2 linked regions of the Arabidopsis thaliana genome follow. The protein of the gene in region 2 interacts with the protein of the main gene of each other region in a pairwise test. Each region holds a gene or a part of one and is shown on either strand. Other genes may lie near its edges.

Region 1 (5,591 bases), on a different chromosome or scaffold from region 2:
AATTTTTCTCTTACATAATCTGTGTTTTAGAAATCATTGGATATTCATAGGAGTGGTTATAGAACTACATTGTGCACATTACTCGTATTTTTTTTCATTAAAGCTCAGGTGAAATTTTCAATTTTGTTATTTATTTATTATTATTATTATTATTTTTTTAATTTTTTAATTTTTTAGCAGTAGTGTTTGCTTCAACAAAGCGCCAAGATTTAGATATTTGGAATAATTCTGTGCAAATTAACTGTGCTAAGTAGTACGAAATGGATTATTTGCATACATTTAAAATACAATTTTAATGAACACTAAATTTAGATAAATCAATAATTAACTGGCTTATCAATGTATTCCAACTGCGTCAAACTCATCTTTGTATACTATGTTAGAGCAGAACAACTCATCTCTCAAAAATACCGGATTATTGATTTGATATATACTATTTTAGGAACAATATATGCATGAGTTTCTTACTCAAAAACAATTTGGTAATGAATGGATTAACCAATGTTGTTTAGATCAATTATATTAAATCTATTTCCACGTCAAATGTAAATTCTAACATTTACCCATGATGCGAGTATAATTCAATTTTTTTTTTTGAGATCATTCACTGACATATGTTACACTCATCCATGTTGTTGTTGTTGTTGAACTACTAAAACAGAAACCCTAGCTCTTAAATCTTTGGATGCAAGCAAATCTCCGATGACTCCTAACTCCGGAAGCTCCATCCACTGTGCCAACCCTGTTAAGTCCAGCGAATAATCTTCGTGATCTCTTCCTACAATCATCAAATCATGGTCTTCCGCCACCAATCTAACGGTGGTGGCCACCGCAGGTCCACCGTTGACTACCTTCTCCATATAGTTAAAATTGTTGGCCAATGAATATGTCGCTTTCAAATCATTCAAGACCTCGTCGTCAACAAGGTAATCCCAATTCTTGGACTTATCTAGTTCTTGACCAGACAAAAATCTGATAACAGTAAGACACACTCTCGAGTTCTGTCCCATCCATTTCGCAAGGGAAAGCGCCTCACGATCATCTTTACCACCAATGAAGATCACACCAACGTTAATGATACTGTTGGTCTTTTTCTTACCTTTATTATATCCTCGGTAGTTAAGTATGCCGACAGAACATGGAGCGAGGTCAAGGAGAGATTCATTAACACGTCTGATCATAATATCGTCTGATTCATATTCTCCATCGGGTGACCATTTTCGTCCCGAAGGGACAATGATCATCGATGTGAGGTGGTCTAAAGCAAGATTGCAAATGTCTTGATCCATTAGGTTCTCATGAGAATAAGCTGTGAAGGAACTAACAGTGGTAGATTCCCAATTCTCTTGTTGAAACTCGGTGAACGCGAGCATCATTGTTTGTATGTAAGAGTTTTGAAGCAACCGCGCTTTAGACCGCTTGTCATGAGGTATCAAGATGGGAAACGTACGTCCTGCGAGTTTCACTAGGTGTAACGCCGTGACAGCAATGACTCCTCTGTCTTTGTTATCGTTGTTTAGCGGCGAGGAAAGCAATTCAAGTAGCGAGATCGCACCTGAGATGTTGTCAGGCTTGTGCAAACAAGTTAGAATCTTGAGATCTGAGTTTGTTTTAAGATGCATAATGTCTCTCTTGACATATCCAATATACTTCCTCTTTGGATCATATAGTGCTTTTATAATCGTAGGCAAAATCCCCGCGTTCAATAGCACGTAAATAATCATGACCGTGTACGTTGCTCGCGACAAATTCTGTTAAAGAAAACAAAAAACATTCAACCATTAATTCAAAACCATATGATGCAATATATATACATGTAGAGTGTAGGTTAGATGAAGATTATTTTACCCTTCTTCTTAAGGCGACATCGAAGAAGCATAAGTCAACAAAACCCTTATAGTTCATGATAGTGGCGATGATAACGGATTCTCTAGTAGGTAACTCGCAGAAGATCAAGCAAGGTACAAAAGAGGCAGTCCATTTCACTACCACTGTAAGACCCAGTAGAAGTATGTTAAAGGAAATGTCATCGAACGAATACAATGCTCTTACAACGTCAGCTTTCATCGCCATGACCGCGATTGAAATAGGGAAAAATATGTTTGTAACCAAGCTCTCGAACCTTGCCTCTAACGCAGATCCCAGAGGCGGACCGTCTGGGATTGCCAACCCCACCAATAAAGCTCCTAGAATGTACATTTGGTTGAAAACACTTAAGTATATACTCGCGGCGATTGCGGTCAGGATTGTTACGTATAAGTAGACTTTCGGTACGGGCTTGCCTTCTGGGGTCATGTCCACTATTCGTTGTGCCATTGGCTTGAAGATGAATAGGATCACAAGGACTAAGATGATCAATGCCACTATGTCGCGGTTGGCTATTCCGGGCGATACATACCTGCAGACCGTTTCAAACTATTATAGCAAATAATGTTCGTTAGATAGTAGATATACATTACTAATCAAACACTCCGGTGCCGTCTATTGTGTAGATAACAATTAGTATTGCTTTATAGACAATAAAACGGTAACTTTTCGTTGATCAAACTTTTAACCAGTTTTAGAGCATTATATATATTGCTTTAGGTCTCCGGATTTGTAGACTTTGATTACTACAAAAGTATATTTAATGAGGTAAGTAGTTTTGTATGCAAATGCACCAATTAGATTCCTAAATTAATCGACGTCTTACATACCTGTATGTTCCAACGTAGGAGATGCATACTAGAGTGAGAAATCCAAGGAAATCGCTGACGGCGGCTGTAGATATGGCGATGCGGCCGAGCTCGGAGTTTGACATCTTCAGCTCATATACGAGGTGGGTTATGACCGGTAACAGCGTTACTGCTTGAATCGATACAATCACGGAGCGTTCTGTTGGGGCTAGCCTCAGAGGCATATAAAGAGGGTCGACCTTGTCGAGACGGAAGTTTCTGAAGGCTAACCCGCTGATCATAGTCACGAAAAAGGACGAAACCGCGATTACTATCGGACGTTTACCGATTTGATACACCGCTCTCTTGTTGGTCTTCACGCCCATTAAGAACGTGAACATTACCAACCCAAGCCTGGCCACACCTTCCAACGCTACGTTTCCGGGGATGTCTAACGATAATCGGTCCGATGAATACTCCAGAAGATCAAGCAGCTGAGGTCCAAGAATCAAACCAGCCTAGTTCAAAAAAAAAAAAAAATTGTTACTTGCAGTACAAGAAACCAAGCGTTTGGTACTTGCGATACAAGAAATTGACAGTTGTGGACGTTTTTCTTAACTTACAAGTATGTTGGAGACGAACCGTGGTATGCCAATACGTCTGAGGAACATATGAGATAAGACGATGCAAACGAAGATGAGAATGATCTGCAGCTCAAGGAGAGGCAATGCATATCCGAAGATAACAGTAGGAGTTTCATATTTTTCCATGATTCCATAAGAAGAGATGTTGAAAAAAGTAGCTCCGTAACAAATTTCAGCTTTGCTATGAGGCGGTGAAGGCCCAGGAACTAGTGCTTGAGAATCGGTCATGATGATGACGAAGATATGCTTTTGTCAAACTTGTAAAAGATCGATTTCGTTTTTTTTCGCTGATAATTTATTCTTAACGTCAAAATATTCAACAACGTAACGGTTTGTTTTAAAAAAAAAACAGTTGCTGTTGTTTATCAAATAGTTGGCGCCCCCCTTTGACTAGTACTTTTTGGTTGCGAAATAATTTTGTTACGTTTTGGTCAAACTTATCAACAAATAAATGATGATACTTAGGCACTCTAATCCTTTCCTAAAACTTGACCATTTTGGTTGACCAAAAAAAGAAAAAGAAACTAACCCATTTTACCAAATACTTATTTTATAACAAACCCAAAAGATAAGCCCAATCTAAGCCCATTGAAGATCAAATATTGAGTTGACACTACCTACTAATCTAACTCAAGAACTTAGCCCACAACTTTAACACTACTAATATCAAACTTCAAAAAAAAAAAAAAGTATTCCATAGTGTGTTTTAGTAGAATTTATAAAAGAGTGGACCCAAAAAATTGAGTCATCAAGTTGGAGGACATATCCATTATCCAATCCTATCCTGTTTTCTGCTTTTTAAAAACAAGACATGACATATTGACATTGACCCACACACCACAAAAATTTGTTCTTAATGACCCGCCAAGTCGCCAACTGAATTGAATCTTAAACCGAGTGTTTCATATGTTATTAACTTTCACTTAGTACATTAAACTTTTTCTAATAGAATATAAAAAAATAACTTTCTTTTTAATGCATAATTACAAGTAAGATATTTTTTTTAACAAAAGTCCGACAACGAATCTCTTTTCACTTTTCATTTTCAATTTTTTTTACCTCTAGTTTTCTCATTAATGTTGATGAAATTTGGCTCTGACTAATTAACTATTATGTATTTTATTTAAAATTAACTATTATGTAATTTTTTATTATTTAAAATTATGTATTCTGCTAATGAATTCCAATTAGGAGTAAACCATAAACAAGTGGAAAAATATTTCTGTTTATTAAGAAGAAAATTTATATTTAGCAAAAAAAACAAAAACGTTAAAACCTTTTTAATAATGAGTATGGGATTTGTTGATTAGGCAAAATAAAAAATCTGGCGTGTTGCTGAGTCATCACTCATCTTCATATAAATAAATATCATCAACATGATTGCTTTTTCATCTCTGCAACTTCCTCTGTTTCTGATTACCAAACGTCGTCAATACATTTCTTCAAATTACGTTTCTTTTATTCTTTCGTTACTCTCAACAAATTTTGATATCTGATTGGTGTTGATTCCAAGTAAGAAAGATCAAAACTTTAGGTAAAGTATGGATATGGGTTTCCATGAAAATGAGCAAAATCAAGAATTTGCGAATCTAATGGAGATTGGATCTGGGCATTACGGGTAAATAACATCTTTTGAGTTTCTTTTGAGTTTTGAAGCTAAAGTTTCATTTTTTTTTTTTTTTGAATTTGATTATCCTTGTGTGTGTGTGTTTAGGTGTTCACATTATAGAAGACGATGCAAGATTAGAGCACCATGTTGTGATGAGATTTTTGATTGCAGACATTGCCACAACGAAGCTAAGGTAGAAAACTAATATTAAAGGAATAGTCTTTTTACTTCTCTGTCTTTGTAACTTGTGTGTGTGTGTGTGTTTTTGTGAAGAACAAGTTTTGGTTATAGATGTTAATGTGTTTTGTTTGTTTCAACAGGATTCTCTTCATATTGAACAGCATCATAGACATGAGCTTCCTCGACATGAAGTTTCAAAGGTTTTTAACTTTGAACATTCTGGTTTATGAACATTTTGATTCTGTTTATTCATTGTGATAACAATTTTGGTCTACTTTTTTTCAGGTCATATGCTCGCTTTGTGAGACAGAACAAGACGTGAGTATCTACATTTTAGATATACAAATTCTATTGGTAAATATGTTTATTGATGTAGAAGAGACCTGTAATTTGTTTTCTTCAGGTTCAGCAAAACTGCTCCAATTGTGGTGTATGTATGGGGAAGTACTTCTGTTCAAAATGCAAGTTCTTCGACGATGATGTAAGTTTTGTAATTGAGTTATT
Region 2 (4,268 bases):
GAGAGGCTGAGACATTTCTGGGGATTGATGGAGATGAAAGGAGATAAAGAGAGTTTTCAGATGTAATTAAGAGAAAACAGATCTTTTGGATTTTAGGGTTTATATCCAACAAAAGCTAACCAAAAACTAATAATTCAAGATTGGTGCTTCGGAAGAAGACGCAAAAGTGTATTTTCTTGCAGTTGCAAAACTGTTACGAAATTTTTAAAGTTTTCCTATTATTGTTTCGATTTATGTAAAACCCTGATTTTGGTCTTGAGGCACATTTTTTGGATAATCTACATTGGATTAAAGAAATTTCGAAGTTTTTGTCTGTATGACCATCTATAGGTTTTTAATATTTTGTTCACGCTCTTCTTGATATTGTTATTTCTGAAAATGACGTTTGTATACTTTAAGTAAAGTGACGCAAATTAGTTGTTGAACCAACAGCTTTCCTGCGTAAGCTCTCGTTACAAATTCTATGAGCTTAAACTAGTGAGTGGAATGTCAACTCAAAACTAAGTGTTCAACAAAATTCGTTTTTGGTGTAGATTAATTGAATTTGAGACGATCTTACCAATTGACTTGTGCTTTAGTTGTTGTTTAATTAGGTGATGGCGACAAGCTGACAAAAAAGTGCCAAACACATAAGTTTTTGTTCTGTCTTAATCCTCTTCAGTGGAGGATAATTTAAATCACATGAACTTATAAATTATAACTATTAATGTAGTCTATGTAGATATGCTTTTAGCTGGTAATATCATCTGTATAAAATAAAAAGAGGGAGGAGAAGGCAAAACAATTTGGTTTTCATTAATTGTTTTCCCGAGTACACAAACATTGGCATTGGCACATATCAAAGTATTACACCACAATGAAAACAGAAAAACAAGAAGAAATATAGTGCATAGTTTTACAAGCAAAGTTGCCAATTTTTGTACATACATAATAACACAACCATTTTGTAATTGTTGTTATTATGATAGGTTTTTTTTTGTGTGGCAAAAACTCAAACGTTGGCTGCACTTCTGAAGGATCCAAGTGACTTGGAACCTGAAGCCCTTAGGACAAATTGGTGATAAAATGCAGCTATCGCAGCTCCAATGAATGGTCCCACCCAGAATATCCACTGTATTTAGATAGACCAAAAAAACAGTTCATTATTTTCCCATCAAACAATAGTCCATAATTTGATTAATTTTAAATAATTAAGAAATAGAAACGTACGTGGTCATCCCATGGCTTGCTCTTGTTATAGATTACGGCAGCTCCGAAACTCCTAGCCGGGTTGATGCCGGTTCCGGTGATCGGAATAGTGGCCAAATGTACCATAAACACCGCAAACCCAATCGGAAGTGGCGCCAAAACCTTTCGTTTCATAATTCATAACACTAAGTATTAATTAATGTTATCGTATGTTACCAGAACGATCTTATAACTGATAGAAATAAATACTAACCGGAACGTGGGAGTCTCTAGCGTTACGTTTGGGATCAGTAGCGGAGAAGACTGTGTAGACGAGAACGAATGTTCCAATGATCTCTGCGGCTAGTCCGGTGCCTGTGTTGTAGCCGTCTGCTAGAGAGTTGGCTCCTCCACCGTAACGATCATAGTAAGAGCTTTGAAAGGCTTTGACGAAACCAACTCCACAAATAGCACCCAAACACTGAGCCACCATGTAAAGCACCGCCCTAATCAGCGATACCTTCCGGGCTAAGAACAAACCAAACGTCACCGCAGGGTTTATGTGACCACCTACAAAGTTCTTGGGGTTAATTTCAAATAAATTACAAAACAAAGGACAAATTTGAAAGGTCCACAAATGTTAAATTTTCTGAACCGGGTAATAAACCGGACCGGTTTCGATATATGATACCTGAGATACCGGCGGTGCAGTAGACAAGGATGAAGATCATGCCACCAAAAGCCCACGCGATGCCAAGGATTCCGACGCCGCCGCAGTCAACTCCACCGGCTTTTGTGTCGGACTGAATCTTGTAACCGATGACAGTTAAAACGGTGATGTACAAGAAGAGGAGAGTGGCTACGAACTCGGCAATGACGGCTCTGTATAAAGACCACTTGGTAAGCTCGTCCGCATCGAAAAACGGAGTTGGTGGCGGATCTTCGTAGTCTCTTGTCTGAAATCCCTCAGGTCCTTCCACGTCTTTGGCCATTTCTATAACTTTTTTTGTTATATATGAAAGTTGTGTTTTGTATTGTGGATATGTTGTGTTTGTGAAGACTGAAGAGACGAATGAAAGTTGTTTATATAGAGAGACTATAGCTATAGTGAGTGCTCTCATTAATTTTGCTTGTCAATATACGTTAATAATTGTATACGTGTTATTGATTGATTATATTACGATAATGTTTTCCTTTTGGTAGGCTTATGGTTGTTTTTATTATTCGTTTCAATGAAATGAATATAGAATTGTGTGTATGACGATTATGATTATTTTTGTGGAAACTTTCTTTCACTAATTAATTACCTAGCTAGCTGTCATGATGATATATAATCTAAACCAATCTAATCATTGCTACATAATCAATAGAAACTGATTTTGCTTAATATATTCATGTTCCACTGTTTTTTTTTTGTTTAAGCAGAATTTCCATATACATTAGTATAATTAACTGATGATAGTAAGAATTAGCTACTGCTAAGAGTTTTTCATCTCAATTAGTGTTTGTCATAATATGATAGTTAAGGTATTGTTTTGTTGACAAAATTAACTATAACTAAATTATTATTATTTTGGTTTCAACTTCAACTATTGATACAAATCTGTAACTAAAGATGAACTTATTTGAGATTCTGATTATTTAAAAGAATGATTGTGGAGCTATCAATAGGAACAGAGACCTTTTAATTCTAAAATTATGGTTGATAATGGAGTTTTGTGGTTAATTTAACTTAGCCTCGCCGCCCCATACCTAAACGTTGTTTTCATTTGGACCGACCCTAATATACTATATGCTTCTATATTTTTCTTTCTCTTGTCCTATGTCATGAGCCTTGTCCTCCCCCTAGAATAATATAGACTGTCACTCTTTTACACATAAAATAAATAAAAAATATGAAGTTATGAACCTTATCTATTTGGGCAATACTTGAAAGTTGTTACTTGTTAACGATAAAGCTTTTTGAACTACGAGATAGCTAGATTGATCAATAGTAAAATTTCTGATTATCTAGATTCTATCATCCTTCATTTAATTTCTAGAAGGAGCTCCTTATATAGTTATACTAGTTCTTATGCATGTAATTAGTAACGATTAAATTGACTTCCTATGCTCTTAACGTTACAAATCAAATCTATTAGGTGGATAAAAAAGAGTCTTTTGATAGCTCTCAGCTAACCCTACCATATAACAAAAACATAATTTATCACATGGACATGATAAAAGAAACGGCGTCGCTTCACGGGTTATGTTTCCACTAAAGTAGAAAATATGATGAAAGTTGGGTCCACTGGACCGGAGAAACCGCCCCATATAGAATTGATTAGCTCCGTCAATTGCATCGGCACCGTCCATACAGATTAAGTCCAACTCCAGTTCAGCCGTCCCAACCACTCCTCTTATGCCACGTTGTTTAGTCCCCATATTCAACAATCATTTGCTCTCACTCCTCAATTCCAAATTTCCAATTGCAATTTTCTTACGTATATTATTCAGTATTCACTAATCACTAGTCTGTCTACAAAAATAAATTGGAAAAATAAAAAGTGTACATAGACAAAAGGAATGTGGTGTAATGTGGTGTTCATGGCCAATGTTTTGCCACGTCACAATATCCTTATCGTTGTAGCGACATTTCTCTGCTCTTATTGGATTATATTTCCACGTCAGAAAGGTGCTCTCTCTCTCTCGGTCTCTCCCCTGGTTTTATTTTTGTTTTCTTTCATCTTTGTCGCTTTCTGTTTTGTTAAAGAATTGTCTACTCGATATTGGTTACGAATGGTATTGTTCTCTGTGGAAAAATGGGTTAATTTGTTATGATAAACATTTTTTGTTCCAAACAAATAAATGTTCTTTCATTTCATAGTAAATTTTTTAGTCTTCTGAACACACGTATATATATGCTTGCTAACAATGAATCCACAATAACAGATCATAAAATTACATCTGACTCATATGTAATTCTATCATGATATGTTGAGTCAATATATAGTCGATGGAGTATATATAGAGTTATAATTTGATTGTAGTGTCCTATGACAGATTTAACACTCAGCTTACACCGAAAAAGTTAAGTCTCAAATAAATTACGTATTTATGCG

The links.
Region 1: the proteins of PIP2B (region 2) and CHX9 interact in a protein complementation assay, tested with the Arabidopsis thaliana proteins (one large-scale study listed by BioGRID).

What each region holds. Positions count from the first base shown.
Region 1 is NC_003076.8:7,660,304-7,665,894, forward strand, and holds CHX9 (cation/H+ exchanger 9), read right to left. Parts: upstream 3,527-5,591; coding exon 3,278-3,526; intron 3,173-3,277; coding exon 2,697-3,172; intron 2,399-2,696; coding exon 1,849-2,398; intron 1,752-1,848; coding exon 624-1,751; downstream 1-623. Other genes in the region: AT5G22920 (CHY-type/CTCHY-type/RING-type Zinc finger protein), read left to right, coding at 4,840-4,916, 5,013-5,100, 5,228-5,287, 5,373-5,405, 5,491-5,568. UniProt on the Arabidopsis thaliana protein: May operate as a cation/H(+) antiporter.
Region 2 is NC_003071.7:15,612,633-15,616,900, forward strand, and holds PIP2B (plasma membrane intrinsic protein 2), read right to left. Parts: upstream 2,391-4,268; 5' UTR 2,289-2,390; coding exon 1,859-2,288; intron 1,738-1,858; coding exon 1,442-1,737; intron 1,351-1,441; coding exon 1,210-1,350; intron 1,112-1,209; coding exon 992-1,111; 3' UTR 736-991; downstream 1-735.